Linked DNA regions of Elephas maximus indicus. The protein of the gene in region 1 purifies or fractionates together with the protein of each later gene. This does not show direct contact. Links are inferred from orthologs where the notes say so. Each region holds a gene or a part of one and is shown in the gene's direction. Other genes may lie near its edges.

What was found. Proteins that work in one complex are often made in the same cells at the same time.
Region 2: the proteins of CTCF (region 1) and RPL28 purify together in Homo sapiens (affinity purification with mass spectrometry; 3 studies listed by BioGRID and IntAct, with this or other methods). This does not show direct contact. The link is inferred for Elephas maximus indicus from reciprocal best matches to the Homo sapiens genes CTCF and RPL28.

The regions. Positions count from the first base shown.
Region 1 is NC_064839.1:34,059,622-34,066,767, forward strand, and holds the start of CTCF (transcriptional repressor CTCF), read left to right. Parts: upstream 1-4,146; 5' UTR 4,147-4,354; intron 4,355-5,441; exon of another isoform or gene 5,442-5,525; intron 5,526-7,146.
Region 2 is NC_064829.1:91,615,189-91,623,174, reverse strand, and holds the start of RPL28 (60S ribosomal protein L28), read left to right. Parts: upstream 1-4,976; 5' UTR 4,977-5,078; intron 5,079-5,418; 5' UTR 5,419-5,426; coding exon 5,427-5,507; intron 5,508-5,732; coding exon 5,733-5,856; intron 5,857-7,757; coding exon 7,758-7,876; intron 7,877-7,986. Other genes in the region: TMEM238 (transmembrane protein 238), read right to left, coding at 2,049-2,579.

The DNA.
Region 1 (7,146 bases):
GGTCTGGAAACACACCGTGGGCCCTCTTTGTATTCCCAATGCCTAGCAGAGGGAGCTGCACACAGCATGTACTCAATAAATGGTTGCTGAATTGATCACGTCTTACACGTGTCCTCCAATAAGCACAGAGGCAGCAGGAGCGTTCAGGTCTAACTTTAGGCCTTACCCCATTGTTATGTAGAAAATAAACACATCCTCCATTTATCAATTATCTTGCTTAAACAGTTCAAAACATATAAATGATCACAATTATTGCAAGCTTTAAAGAGGGCAACAGTGGGAGCCAAGGAAGATCTTGGCAAGAGATCTCTGAGAATCATAGCACCAAGTATGCCTTTCCCAGAAAGAAGAGGCACCAGGTCAGAGAAACCCTAGTCAGTAACTTAACTGATTCTACTAATAAACCTAGAAAGCCTATGTTCAATCAGAAGGCAGAGCTAGGAGTGAAAAGTAGGTAATTGAAGCACAAAAATAAAATAAATTATAACAGTTTACATTACTGTATGATTACTGGTGCCTAGAACTATGCCAAAAGCTTTACTTGCATTTTCTCATTTAATCCTTACCATTACGTGAAGTTGTACAATTATCATGCTTTTTTAGAGGAGAAACCTACAGCTGGGTAGTTGATAATTCACCTGACACCACAAAGCTAACAAGGCACCAAGACAGGACCTGAATCCAGAACAATGACTCCAGCATCCAGAGCTGGTAATATTAAACATTTAAGTTAAATAAGTAACCAGATCTCTGGAGTTTCCCATCTAGAGATCCCCATGTAGCTAATACCACGAAGTAAGACACACCATGACTTCCTACAAGAAGAAAGCATTTCCTTTGGTTCCTTCCTAGTGATCCTCAGCATTTTCTCATCCTTGTGCCACAGTGGCCAATGGAGTCTTTGTCTTCAGAAAGCAGACTCCAAGGCCACCTGGACCCCATTTCTTGCTTCTAACTGGTAACTCACAGGTCATGTAGTTGTAAATACAGATGACATTCTTCCCCCTGAATACATCATCTTATATTTGCTCACACTAAAAGTTTAGAAGATGTTCCTGTAATTATACAAAGAGATGCACTCCAAGCACTATATGTAAATTAAAATGGAAGTCTAAAAAATGTTTTAGTAACCCACAGAAAGATAGGAAAAATAAAACAGAAAACAAGGAACAGGAAACAAAAAACAAAATGGAAGACTTAAGCTCTAACATATCAACAATTACACTAAATAAAAAAGCCCAAATTCACCAATTAAACAGAAATTGACAGTGGATTAAAAAAAAAAAAAAAGACCCAACTATATGCTGTCTACAACAAACTAACATACAATGTGGATGTAGCTTACTCTTAAAGATAGGAAGATAATAATGGTTTGAGATAAAGTTCTAAAAGATAGTGAATAGATTATTAATGATGCCCAAAAGAGGCTAACAGGCTGACTCATTAGGGGGAGAGCAAGTGGGAGTAAGGAGTAAGATGTATATGAACTTATATGTGACAGACTGACTTGATTTGTAAACGTTCACTTGAAGCTCAATAAAAGTTAATAAAAAAAAAAAAAAAAAGAAGCTAACAATTTAGAGGAAGTCAGCTTTGCTATTCCTAATTATACCAGGAACTATTTGGGGTGGGGGTGCGGGGGGGTGAAGAAATGCAAAATGCAAATATCCCAGAGTTACCCGGTAATTTTTCTCTAAGTTTGTCTTTTCATTATAGTTAAGTCTTAATGTGAACATAAAAGACAAATAGTATAATTTGGTTTCTAGAAAGATAGGAGTCACATGTTAATTTTCTAAAGACTTGACACATTTCTAGAAGAGCATCTAATTGCATAAAGCAAGTACCTGGGTACTGTACTTGTGTTAAAAAACCATATCTCTTTTCTTCATGCCTGTTCTCAAGCAGTTGAATGCTGCTGGAGGAAAACCACACAACTGGGTCAAGTGGTTTAACTTTAAACTCATGATCACAAACCTCAAATCGGTACCCAATGCCAAGGCAGTCCTGCTAGGTTTACACAGTAAACTTGCTTTCCCTCTCCCCTGCACTGGCAAGCCTCTTCACTTTTGTCACCTTATTATCATGGTAAAAGCATCCTTGTTCCTATCCAAGGTCAATCCTCTTCAGGTGCTATGAACCCTGTTTGCTCATATCTTTCATGGATTTCACTCCTACTGTCAAATCTTCTCTTTTCTGCATCACCCATCACCATCACCCTCTCCACAGCACACAATCACACTCTAGAACTCTACTATCTATTAAAGCATTCTCTCCCTTGGCCCATGTCCTTCTACAGTTATCCCCAAATTTCTCTGTTCCCTTTGACAAAAAAACTTGTCTTAAGTTGCTTATATGTGCTGTCTCTATTTCTTCACTTTCCCATTCACTTTTCAACCCACTTTAGTCAGGTCCACCTTCCAATTTACCAAAGCTAATCTAGCCAAGGCCATCAATATCCTCCAGTGACCTCCAAAGTGACCAATTCATTAGCCATATCTCTGGCCCAAGTTTACCAGACCTCTCAGTAACACTAAACACAACTGACCATTCCTCTCCTTCCTGAAACCCTCTCTGCCTTTGGATTCCACAACTCAACACTATCATGGATTTCCTTCTACCTTCCTGGTTGATCACTCTGTGTCCTCCATTAACCTATCTCTAAATACTGGAGTGCCCGAGATGATCTTGAAGTCAGAGACCAGAAATTGACAGCTCAGATGTGTGCTTTAATATCATGTAGTTTAAAAACATCTACTTTAGTTGTTTGCCATCGATCTGATTACAATTCATAGCACCCTACAGGACAGGGCAGAACTGCCCCAAAGGGTTTTCTAGGTGAAGTCTTTACTGGAGAGGCCAGGTCTTTTCTGCTGCAGAGCAGCTGGCAGTTCCGGTAGCAGCCCAGAGCTTAACCAATGCACCACCATGACCATCTGAAAACCTGGAGAATTATATTTAAAAAACCATATGCCTGGGTCTCTTGAAAGAAACCAGAGGACTTGTCAATACTGGGCCGGCATTATCATAACGGAACAATCGACTGAGTGGAGCAAATGCTGCCCCCTTGACGCTGAGTCCATTTGTTATCCGTGATATCTAGGTAAGGGGGTTGACAATACAGTCCTGAGTCAGATTCTCAGAAGCACTAAAGGGATCTTCTCACGAAGACACCGGAACACCTTCCAGGCAGTCCTCAGTCAACATTTTCGCTGGCCGCTTAAGGTCCACAAGTGCAAGCTGGGGAAAGGGGAGGCGGCCACACTATTCAGTGCTGAAGGACTCCGCCCACAGACAACTTAGAAGCTCATAGGCAAAGACAGAAATCCACGTTTTAAAATACAAAATTACACTGCACCGAATACACAAAATATCCTTTCAGCAAAAGACGGACCGCTCTGGTCTTGTAAAATCCTCAAGTCTGGTCTTAAGCTGGCCTCTCTGGGCTGAGGTGGGCTGTGGGTCACCGAGTGGAGGTCTTCACCCTCCTCTCTCGCACCTGGTTTCAGGAGGCCCTCCTCTAGGGCGGAAAAAGTAAACCAAATGTCGCTGGGCAAGGACAGCCCTCCTTCGCCGTTTTCAGGTGCTGGATCCAGGCTGGGGAGATGGGAGCGCGCTGGGACAAGCTGAGCCTTTCTCCGTGGCAGCCCACGACACGGCGTTCGGAGGCCGGGTTCGGCCCGGCTAGGCGGGGACTGGGGCGGGGCTGGGCCCAGGAGCCGCCTCAGCCTCACGGTTCGGCCTCGCGCGCGCTTCCTACAGCTTTCCCTTCCCCGCCCCCGCAAATCTCCCGGGGTTCCGGGTGCTGGAGGCTGCAGCCAGGAAACCAGGTCAAGAGCGCCGGGGACCCGGGACAGCCCAAAAGTTGCGGCCTGGGCCCCAAAAAGCCCCGCCCAGCAGGACCCGGATGGCACGACGCCCACAGGGCCCACGCGTGACGGGCGAGGGCGCGGGAGGGCGCGTGCGGCGTGACGCGACTCCGGGCGCGTCCCGTGACGCCATCGCGCCGGGTTTTGAAAGTTGGCGCCCGGGGCCGCCTCCCATGCTGCCCCGCGCCAACCCCTCCCCTCACCTTTCCTCCCCCGCCTTCCCCTCGCCGCCCGGCCGGCCCCCCCACCCGTCCCTTCCCTTATCAGCACCCGCGGCCCCGGCAGCGCCGACGCAGGCGCACTTCACCGCGCCGCCGCCATTTTGTGTCCGAGCCTGTGGAGCGATTAAACCGTGCGCGGAGCTGCTTCTTTGGCGGCAGCGACGGTGGCGGTGGCCGGTGCAGACGCGCGGAGCTGGCCGGGGACGCCGGGTGGCCGGAGCGGGGGAGCGGCGGCGGAGCGGGCGCCGCGGGGGGTGTGGCGCGGAGGTAAGGGGGCCCGGGGTGGAGGAGGTTTCGCGGGCCGCCTCTAGGTGTCACGATGGGGCCGCTCCGGTCGGCGCTGGCTGCAGCCCGGCGCCAGCGCCGCCGCCGGGGGGTGTTTGTCTCCCTCTACCGTCCCTGCTGCGGCGCGGCCGCCGCCATTGCCCGTCGCCGCGGCCCGGCCTGCCCCCCCTCGCCCGCCCGCTGGGCCTCCCTCCTGGCGGCGCGATAGGCCTCGGGCGGTGGCGGCGACCGAGGCCCGCGCGCCCGGCGACTCCATTTTCCTTCCTTTGTCTCTGCCCTCGAGGCCGGCTCTTGGCCCGGCCGATTGCCCGGCCGCGGCCCGCCCTGTGTCCTCCGCCCCTCCCGCGACGGGTGGCCCCAACCGAGAAGCGACCTCTTCGCCCTGGCTTCCGCAACCGCCTCGCCCAAGGGTCCGGACCGCTACCACCATGCGCGCAGTCGGATCTCCGTCCAGTATGGGTGTCAGACCCTGGCCGACGCGTTCCGGGTTGCCCATCCTTCCGCCCGCCGGGTCCCCGGAGCCTACCGGGCCGCCTGTGTGCGTCCCCCGCCGCTTGGCTGCTGGGCGGTCGCTCCCAGTCTGCACGCCGTCGCCGCTTGTCTCCGTCTCCGCCGAGTGGCGCAGGCGGCGCTGCTGCGGCTGCGAGCAGAGGGGCCCCAGCGCTGCCGAGAGCTCCCTCTGCAAGGCTGGCTGAGCTGCTCGCGCCTCAACGCCGCCTGAGCGGGCGGGGGGACGCGCGCTCGCCGCCCCCGCTGGGCCCCGCTGAGCCCCCAAACTCGCGCCGGGGCTCCTCGCGCGACTCAGCGGGTGCGGCCCCATGGTGGCTGGAAAAGACGCGCGCGAGTTCCGCACCAAATAGCTCCTTAGAGTGATAGCAGCCTGACTTTGTGCGCTAAGAGATCTCAAAGGGATTGGAACTTAATTTCACTCTGATCTCAAGTGACAGTGACAAATTCCTGAATTCGCGAGTACGGGCTAAGTTCAAGCAACCCCTAAGTTTGGCTCCCGCTTTAAAATGTCTTGATGTTAATTTACTGTACACCACTTAGTACCTGATGCTCTAGGGCTGGGCGAAAGCAGTTCTGTCCTGGGATTGTGCAACTCGATCTAAAGCGCCAGTAGAGCAGAATGAATTTATTCTTGACTGGACTGGTAATTTGCCCATACGCTGAAATATGAGGGTTGATGTTGTAATTGAATCCTGGGTCACTCGGTGCAGATGGTTTATAAATATCTATGCCTGTTAGTAGTTAACTTCTTGTAGGTCTGAGATCGGCATTAAGTAAACATACACATATATGTGTTTTCATGCTTGCTTTGAGTTTAGATCAATTAGGAAAGCTAAAATTCCGCGTCCCTGTGGGCGGAAAAAGAAATTCAACAGGGCATGTATTTAAACTTACTTTGTTTTTAAGTCTTGCATCTTTCAAAACTTCCTGTTGAACAACCTATGTTTTCTCTTTTTGCGTTTTTTTTTTATTTTAGTAACTTACTATAGTGCTGTGCAGCAGCTGATGTATTAACTTGGGTGACTTTGGAGAGAAGAAAGTCTAGATTAACTTTTTTTTATTAGGAAGAAAAACTGTTAAGCTTATGAGGAAATTAAAACAGGCCGGTGCTAAACAAATTCATTGGGTCCACTGTATGTAATCTTAATCTGTAGGTTTTGCAGCAGTCTGCCTCTGTAGAAGAGTATTTCAGCATCTCTTTTTACAACCATAGAAAATGGTCCTGCCTCTCAATAAAATCAACGCTAAGTAACTACGTGCCAGTAATTTTGGTGGAGTGTTGGACTCGGGAATAGAACCACCTCTAATTGTCTAATGTCTTAATCCATTTGTACAATTTTTTGTGTTTTATGGTTCTCGGTTTTATTTTTCTTTTGAAACTGTGAGGGCCTATGGCTTATTTTATTAAAATGAGCTCTGCATATGGGTAAAAAAAAATTAAAATCCACAAAGTCTTTAGTTGACCCAGGAGTAAAGCATTCCTAGATTAGCGTTCTGCTCCACCGCGCAGACCACACTTGGCTCCTCTCTTCGGTTGTCCCGTGTGCAGTCATCGTCTTCCTGATCTTACACATTTATACTGTCTTAATGGTGTAAATGGTATAAACCATGCACCTTGTCCACACAGTTGTCATCCTTTGAGATTCTTGATGCTCTGTTTTTATTGGAAAACTAAATCTACAGAGAGAATAAATTGAGAATATGAGGTAACCCAAAGGAATTTACTATTTAAATCAGTAGTATGAGGAAGGTTACAACAGGAATGTCTGCCTATGTAAAAAAATATTGCTTACTTAAGAGCAGTTGTAAAAGTTACCCATAGGAATCCATTTAACCTACATAAGAAAACTTAGGACCTGTAAAAGTTACCCTTAAGGGCCATCCAAATTCTAAGAATTGAGTGTTCAGTTTTTGTTTTAAAGGACATACAAAAATGAGGGTATCCACCTGGGACTTCTCTCATGGTTTGGGGAGTTCCTTGGGTGTGGCAGAGGCCACCTGTGGCTGACTGGGGCCCTAGGGAGGAGTGCTGTGGCAGAGCTTTGGACAGAAATGCCTGCTGGCAGAAAGTCACCACAAGAGCAAGGTTTCTTTCTTCAGGAATGCTGCTGGCATTGAAGCCAATCTACATCAAGTTCGTTACTTAATAGCTGCATCTCATTTTTTAAAAATCAGAAATGTAACTTGGCCATTTTTCTACCTTATTTATTTTGGGTTCAAGTGACTTCAGACTGTTTTGCCAAAAATTAAATCTCTTTTCAAAC
Region 2 (7,986 bases), on another chromosome or scaffold:
CTCCAAGGCACCTAACAACAACAACAATGGTCTGACTAAGACTAGAAGGACCCCAGAGGTCATGGTCCCCAGACCTTCTGTTAGCCCAAGACAGGAACCATTCCCAAAGCCAACTGTTCAGACAGGGATTGGACTGGACTATGGGATAGAAAATGATACTGGTGAGGAGTGAGCTTCTTGGATTAAGTAGACACATGAGACTATGTGGGCAGCTCCTGTCTGGAGGGGATATGAGAGGGCAGAGGGGGTCAGAAGCTGGCTGAATGGACACAAAAATAAAGAGTGGAGAGAAGGAGTGTGCTGTCTCATTGGGGGGAGAGCAACTAGGAGTACAGAGCAAGGTGTATATAAATTTTTGTATGGGAGGCTGACTTGATTTGTAAACTTTCACTTAAAGCACAATAAAAATTAAAAAAAAAATCAAAAGACGCGTTGCATTGGGTAAATCTGCTGCAAAAGACCTCTTTAAAGTGTTGAAAAGCAAAGATGTCATCTTGAAGACTAAGGTGCGCCTGACCCAAACCACCTTGTTTTCAATAGCCTGATACACATGTGAAAGCTGGACGATGAATAAGGAAAACTGAAGAATTGATGCCTTTGAACTGTGCTGTTGGTGAAGAATATTGACTATACCATGGACTGCCAAAATCTGTCTTGGAAGAAGCACAGCCAGAATGTTCCTTAGAAGCAAGGATGGCAAGACTACATCTCATGTACTCTGGACATGCTATCAGGAGGATCCAGTCCCTAGAGAAGGACATCACACTTGGTAAAGTAGAGGAAGACCCTCAATGAAATGGATTGACACAGTGATTGCAACAATGGGCTCAAGCATAACAACGATTGTGAGGATGGCGCAGGACCGGGCAGTGTTACGTTCTGTTGTACACAGGGTTGCTATGAGTCGGAACCCACTTGATGGCACCTAACAATAACAGACAAGTTATGGAGGCTCAGAGAAGAGAAGCTGAGTTGGATCTTAAAGAACATGTGGGAAGCTTTCTGGGTGGAATAGAGACAGAAAGGGCATGCCTGGTGCAGAGAAGAGCATGGACAGAGGCTAACTGGTGTGAAAGAGGCTCGAGGTGTGTGGGTTGAGAGATGCAATAACTGCAGAGAGGCTGTATTGCAGGGGACCCACTTGGGGCTTGGATTTCACCAGAGGGCAATAGGGAGCTACAGCAGGGCTTTGAGCAGAGGAAGGCAAGCTGGAAAGTGTACGTTTAGGAAAGGGGATAGAAGGCTGAGGAAAGACAGGACAACAAGGAGGAAGGGAGGAGCTTGAGCATTGGGCTTTCCTTGAATGTCTCTGTTGTTATCACTCCTTTCCAGCTCTAGTTGGACCGCTAGTCAGTAGGATCCCAGCTCCTCCACTTACAAGCAGCACGGCCTTAGGCAAAAGGTGGTACCTTTCTGGGGCTCAGTTTCTTCCACCGTGGAGTCGGGATGGACTAATAGCAAGGGCCCCATAGACCCAGTTACCCTGAGAGTGTTAAATGGAGGTTGGTGTGCCTGGCAGCTGGCTGCAGTGGAGGGACTTCCAAGCGTTGTGGGGAGCTAACCTGGAATCTCCCTGCCTCATCTGGGCGGGGGGGCAGTGTCTCCTCTGAGTCTCCCAAGTCTGCACCCCGCCCCCCCACCCACCCAGCCTTAGACTCTCCCTGCATCTGTATCCTTCTGAGTCTCTGCTTCTCTCCTTGGGAGTATTCACTTCCTCCTGTGTCATTCTCTCTCTCTGAGCCTCCATCTGGGCTTTTCTCTCTCCCCCTGCTGTCTCTCTTCTCCATTTCTCCAGCTGCCCCTCCAACTCTCCCAGCTGTCTCCCCATCTCTCCCTAATGTCTCTTCCCAATATTTCCTCTGTCTCTCCTCGCCGTCCCTCTGTCCCCACTGTCTCTCCATCTCAGCTCTCTTCCATCTCCCCCAAAAGTCTCATCTCTCCCTCAGTGTCTCCCCATCCCTTCCCACAGTCTCTTCATCTCCTCCTGCCGTCTCTTCATCTCTTCCCTCGCCCCTCACCCCGTCTCTCCTCCGTGCCCCTTACCTGGCTCACTCGGGGCCGGTGCCCGCCGCTCCGTGTCCGGCCTCGAGCGTGGCAAGCTGCAGGCGCACGCGGCGGGAGCCGGCGGCGGGCGGCAGGGGCGCGCGGGCCGCGCGGCGCGCTCCTCGGATCCCGGTCGCGGCGCGCGCGGCGGCCGAGGAGGCCGGCGCAGACCAGCGGCGGGAGATCTTGCGCGCGAGGCGGGCGAGCGCCGAGGGCCGCAGGCCGTAGTCGCGCTCGAGCTCCTGGCGTGAAATCTCGATGTTGCCGGTGTACCAGAGGATCCAGCCGAGCAGGCTCAGGAAGACGAGCAGTGCGCCCGAGTAGATGAGCAGGTCGCCGAAGTCGCGGCCGCGCACTTGAAGCTGCGCGAACACGCCGGTCAGCAGCGCCGCCATGCCCGCCACGTCCAGAGCCACCGCCAGCAGCAACGCCATCCGGCAGCGGCCCAGGCCTGACGCGGGCGCGGGTGCGGCCGCCGGCGGGGATGGGGCTCCGGGCGCCGGCCCCGGCGGGGTGCACGCCGCCGTCGCCGCCATGGCCCTGCGCCGCCGCCGCTGGCTCCGCGAGAGGGTTCCGGGTGCGGCCTGTCCCGGGGCGGGGTCAGTGGACTGCGCCAGGTATGCAGGGCACCCGCCTGGTCACCTGAGCGCCCACGGGCCGGGCTCGGAGGCTCTCTGGAGGTCGTTTCTGTGCTGGAGCAGCCGGGCGCGCAGATATGGGTGGCCCAGGGCCCCTGCACCCCGAAGCAACACGTAGTCAAAATCCAGGGGGCCCTAAAGGAGGCAGCATAGGGCACTGCGGGAAACCAGGGCGCTGTTACTGTGCAGTGCAGCTTCCTGAGGCCTCCTATGCGCCAAGCCTGGTGGTAGGGATACCAAAAACCAAACCTGTTGCTGTGGGGTCCATTCTGACTCATGGGGACCCTATGTGTGTCAGACTAGAACTGTGCTCCGTAGGGTTTCTGGCTGTAATTTATACGGGAAGCAGGTCGCCAGGCCTTTTCCGCAGCACAGCTGAGTGGATTAGAACCGTTTGCATCACCCAGGCACCTATATAAAAAAAAAAAAAAAAAAAAAAAACCTATAAAAAAAAATTGGGAGGGGGGGATAAATTAAAAACAAAACAAAAAAAACAACTAAGCGCTTTTGTCATCGAGTCGATTCTGACTCACAGTGATCCTATAGGACAGAGTAGAACTGCCGCATAGGGTTTCCGAGGAGCGGCTGGTGAATTTGAACTGCCCACGTTTTGGTTAGAAGCTGAGCTCCTAAACACTGTGCCACCAGGGTTCTATAGTGGGGATAGGGGAAGGCAAACAAAACAAAACAAAACAAAAAACAGACAAGACACCTACCTGTACCCCAAGGAACTCTGGGATGCAGGGAATGAAGTCAGAGTGCTAGAATCAAAGGAAATGCGGACTCTGCAGGAGCCGAGAATTTCTTTCTGTTTCTGTCACTGCGTGCCTGCCTCATAATGAATGAAACCACAGGCACAGAGATTGGTGGGTCTCACTGATCATCAGATTCAGAGCTCCAGCGGAGGTGGCACAGGGCACTCAGGTTTGCTCAGAAGCTTTCTCCTGAGGCCCCTGAACTGTCCAGGACTCCTTGTGGGTGAAGCCCAAGTGCACAGAGATGGATCCAACAAGGAGGCCCTGGAGTTCCCAGACGTCATCACCATTCCACGTGCGCAAACGGAGGTGGTATAAGGCATTGTCCTTGCTGTTTTGGTAAGAGTCCCTTGAGGCATCCCCAGTGCCAGCTACTGAGGACACGGAACTACAACAGGCGCCGTCCCTGGCCCTTAAGGATGACTCTGGCAAAAGAAAATAAACTTCCAGGAAGTTGAATGGAGGATGAAACATATCGGAAGGCACACTGGTGGCGCAATGGTTAAGCGGTCAGCTGCTAAACGAAAAGTCAGGGGTTCGAACGCACCAAGGGGCTCCGCAGAAGAAGGACCTGGTGATCGACTCCCATGAAGAAACCCTGTGGGGCAGTTCTACTCTATTACATGGGGTCACCATGAGTCGTAATCGACTCGACGGCACACAACATAGGGCAGCCTGGAAGGGGTGATGGGGACTGGAAGGGCGAATGGGGATAGGAGCGCAGGGCGCGTATTGAACCCCTAAATTGAACAGAAGCTTTCACGTGTAAATTTCTTCTCCTCCAAACAACTCGCCCTTTAGGGAAATCTATGCTCCCCTGGGATGGCAGCCTGCAAGGAGGTTCCGCCTAGGTTCTCCCCAGACTCAGCAGTTTAGGAGGAACCTGGGGAGGGAGAACTAAGAGGAAGTTGCTGGGATTAGCCGAAGGTTTCCGAGCGTGGCCGAATGGGGACCGAGCAAACCCGAAGCCGGCATGGGCGAATAAGGGAAAGCGGAGGCCACGACGGAGAGCGTTTCCGGAGAGTTCCGAAAATGCCGAACGAGCCTGGGTGCCTTCGTCGGGAACAGCCGAGGGCTTACGAAAGAAGACCAGAAGTGTCCGAAGACGCTTGAGCGAGACTTAATAGTTAACTCATTCGCTATGAGTCGGAATCGACTTCACGGCAGCGGGTTGGGTTTTTTGGTTTAACTCATTCAAACATTCATTCATAAAACGAATATTTATTTATTGGGCGCCCATCATATGCCAAGCATAGTGCCAAGCGCACTGGAAGGAGCCGCCTGTGGAATGGGACTCGGGGAACTCGAAGCTTTCTAAATGGACCACTCGAAAATCCAGCCGAGAGGTTCCGAAAACTCCCGAATGATCTTCGGGACAGAGACTTTCTACGTCTGGGGAACTCGCCTTCCGTTTCCTATCCAAAGAGTTACAAGGATTTTCGAGCAGTGCGCGTCTTTTTGGCGGAAATAGCCGAAGATTACCGAGCGACCTTGGAGGCGGTGCCAGAGAGAAGGAGGAGGCGGGGACAGGCGGTTTCACAGGCTTGAACAGAGCGGAAGCGGAAATGCGTGTGTGGTATTAAAGGAGTCGCCCCGCCCCCTGCCTGCCTCTTTCCGTCTCCGGCAGCCGCGAAGAGAGGAGGTTAGAGTGCTTCGTTCCTTGCGCCCGGCGTGGTCGCCGTCTGGTGCCCGCCGTCTGTAGTCTCTGCCCCCTTCCCCCGCCCGGCTTCTCCCATCGCGCCTCCGAGGCCGGAGGGTCCTCGACTGCCTCCCAGCCCCTCCGCCGGAAATCACTGTGGTCTTACTTTCTCCCCCCCCCCACCATGCCCCGCAGTTAGTCTCGGCTGCCTGAGTTCAGCCGCGCATGACAGTTCTGGATTGCTGTCTGCATTCAGGGGTTCCCCATTCACCCAAGTTCCCAATCATACGACGTCGGCCTACTTTTCCGCTTGAGATCGTTCACGTGTCCCATTTCTTCGCAGCTGGCGCCATGTCAGCACATCTGCAATGGATGGTTGTGCGGAACTGCTCCAGTTTCCTGATCAAGAGGAACAAGCAGACGTATAGCACTGTAAGTGGGGCCCAGAGCGCTGGGTCTGAGGGAGAAAGGGTTCGGGCCGGGACTCGCGGTTTGAGGGAGCAGTAGGCTTGGGCCCAGGACTCCCGGGTCTGAGAGTGATGGGTTCTGGGGGCCCGGATTCCGGAAGAAGGGGGCCTGGACCCTGGTTTTGGACCTGAGGAAGGACCCCCACGCATCTCTAGTTTCCTCTTCACCATCCTGATGCCCCATCCCCAGGAGCCCAATAACCTGAAAGCCCGCAACTCCTTCCGCTACAACGGGCTGATTCACCGCAAGACTGTGGGCGTGGAGCCGGCAGCAGATGGCAAAGGGGTCGTGGTGGTCCTGAAGCGGAGATCGGGTGAGCATTGGCCCTGGGTTGACATGGACATCAGGCCCCCTTTTGCCCCAGGGACTCAGGCAACAGGAGTAATTCTACCAGAGTTTGAGAATACCTGGGTTAGGATATTGGCTTGGGAGGCCAGCTTCCATCTGCCACAACAGGTCACTTAGCCTGGTTCTCATCTGTAAAGTGGAGAAGCTGTTGGAACGTGAACTTCAGTGGGTGGCTGTGAGAATTAAAGTACATGATGATGAGATATTTTCAGGTTAAATTCTCAAATCTGAGATGGAGGTGGATGTGTCCACCTCACAGATGAGACTGGAGTTGCCACATGTAGCAATTACAGGCTGGTTTGGAACCAAGCGGTTTAGTTTGACCACCAGCCTGCCTGTGTGTGGATTCAGAGAAGGGTCCTGGGCACCTCCTTTATAAACTGACTTAGGCACAGGTGGGGCCTTGTTTAGGGTCTCTGAGCGTGTGTGGGCTGGGGAAAGGTCTGGGAGGCAGGAATCTCCTGGGCTAACAGTTGAGTCATGGGGTGTCCCGTTACACCCTTGTGCTTGAGAATGTAGGAATGAGTTGGCTTTCCCAGATGCTTGCATGGGGCTGGTTTCCGTTCAGGTCTTGTTCAGGAACATTCCTTGGTCCTAGCTGCCACAGGTTCTTCCACTTCTGAGTTCTGACGTGCTGGGTCCTGAAAACCTTGTTTTCCTCTCTTGGGTTCCTAAAGAAAAGGGTGGCTTTCCTTGTGTTTTAAGGGACTGGATTGGCGTGAGGAGTATAGCAGTCCCTACTTTGGGGCCTGGTGGTACAGTGGTTAAGCAGTTGGCTGCTAACCAGAAGGTTGGAGGTCCGAACCCACCAGCCACTGCACAGCAGAAAGACCTGGTCATTTGCTCCTGTAAAGATTACAACCTAGAAAACCTTATAGGGCGGTTCTGCTCTTTTGCACGGGGTTGGTATAAGTTGAATTGACTCAAAGGCACCTAACAACTTTAGGGGTTGGGTTTAAGGAACTCCATCAAGTCTATCAAAGCCTCGGGATGGCGGGTGGGGCATGTCCTCTGGAGGAGAGCTCTGCAGAGACATCTGTCACCAGGAGCACAGGGTTCTAACTGCAGCCCCCATTGGGGCTGCCTGGTTTCAGGTCTTGACTGGGAGTCTGGTGGCCATGGCACAAGAAAGGGAGGGAGGTATTTCCACAGGTGGGTGTGCAGGGGCGTGGGAGGTTGTTTCTTTGTGATTGCTGTTAGCACAGATGAGGGCCAGGGCTCTTCCTCACACCCTGTGTTCAGTACCCTCTCTTGTTACTCCAGGCCCTGGGGAGGAGGGGACAGAAGGCCAGAGCTGCAGTCTTGCCTTTTTTTTTTTTTTAAAGAAATTGAAGTATATTTAACATACAATTTGTAAGTTGAAATAGCATTCCCACTAGAGTTAAACATACCCCAAAGAAGAGAGAACTTACAAAGACTTTTGTGTCCCAGCTTATGGTTAGTGCACCCTTGCTTGTCTCTCTCTCTACTAATGCTCTGGTGCGCTCACGACCTGGCCGGCACAGTGCACCTGCTTCACCTGTAGCATGGAGTTTTGGGGTCAGGTGGCTTAGATTCCAAAATTTGCAACCATGCTTTACGCATGTGACCATGAATAAGAGTATTGTCACCTCCATGTTGGCCATTTCATCCTTTCAAGGAAAGTGGAGATAGCTGCTGTGCTAGGGTTACCGTGAGGATGAGATGGATGAGAAGTGCCCAGGGCTGCCCTGCCCCAAGGTGATCACCACTCGAGTGGTAGAGTGGCTGCTGGTCCTGCCTGAGGAGGCTGGGGGAGGGGAGGGGAGTCAGGTGGCCTCCTTACACCTGGGAGGGACACCCAAGGCTTCACAGTCCCACTGACCAATGGGTGACCCTTCCTCCCAGGCCAGCGGAAGCCAGCCACCTCTTACGTGCGGACCACCATTAACAAGAACGCCCGGGCCACTCTGAGCAGCATCCGCCACATGATTCGCAAGAATAAGTACCGCCCCGATCTGCGCATGGTAAGCGGGGCCCAGTGGGTGAACCCTGAGGTGCCCTGTGTTTCTCACTACCCAGGAGCTGTGTTTGGGGATGGGAGAGATCAGTGGACTACACTTGAATGGCTGGTTTG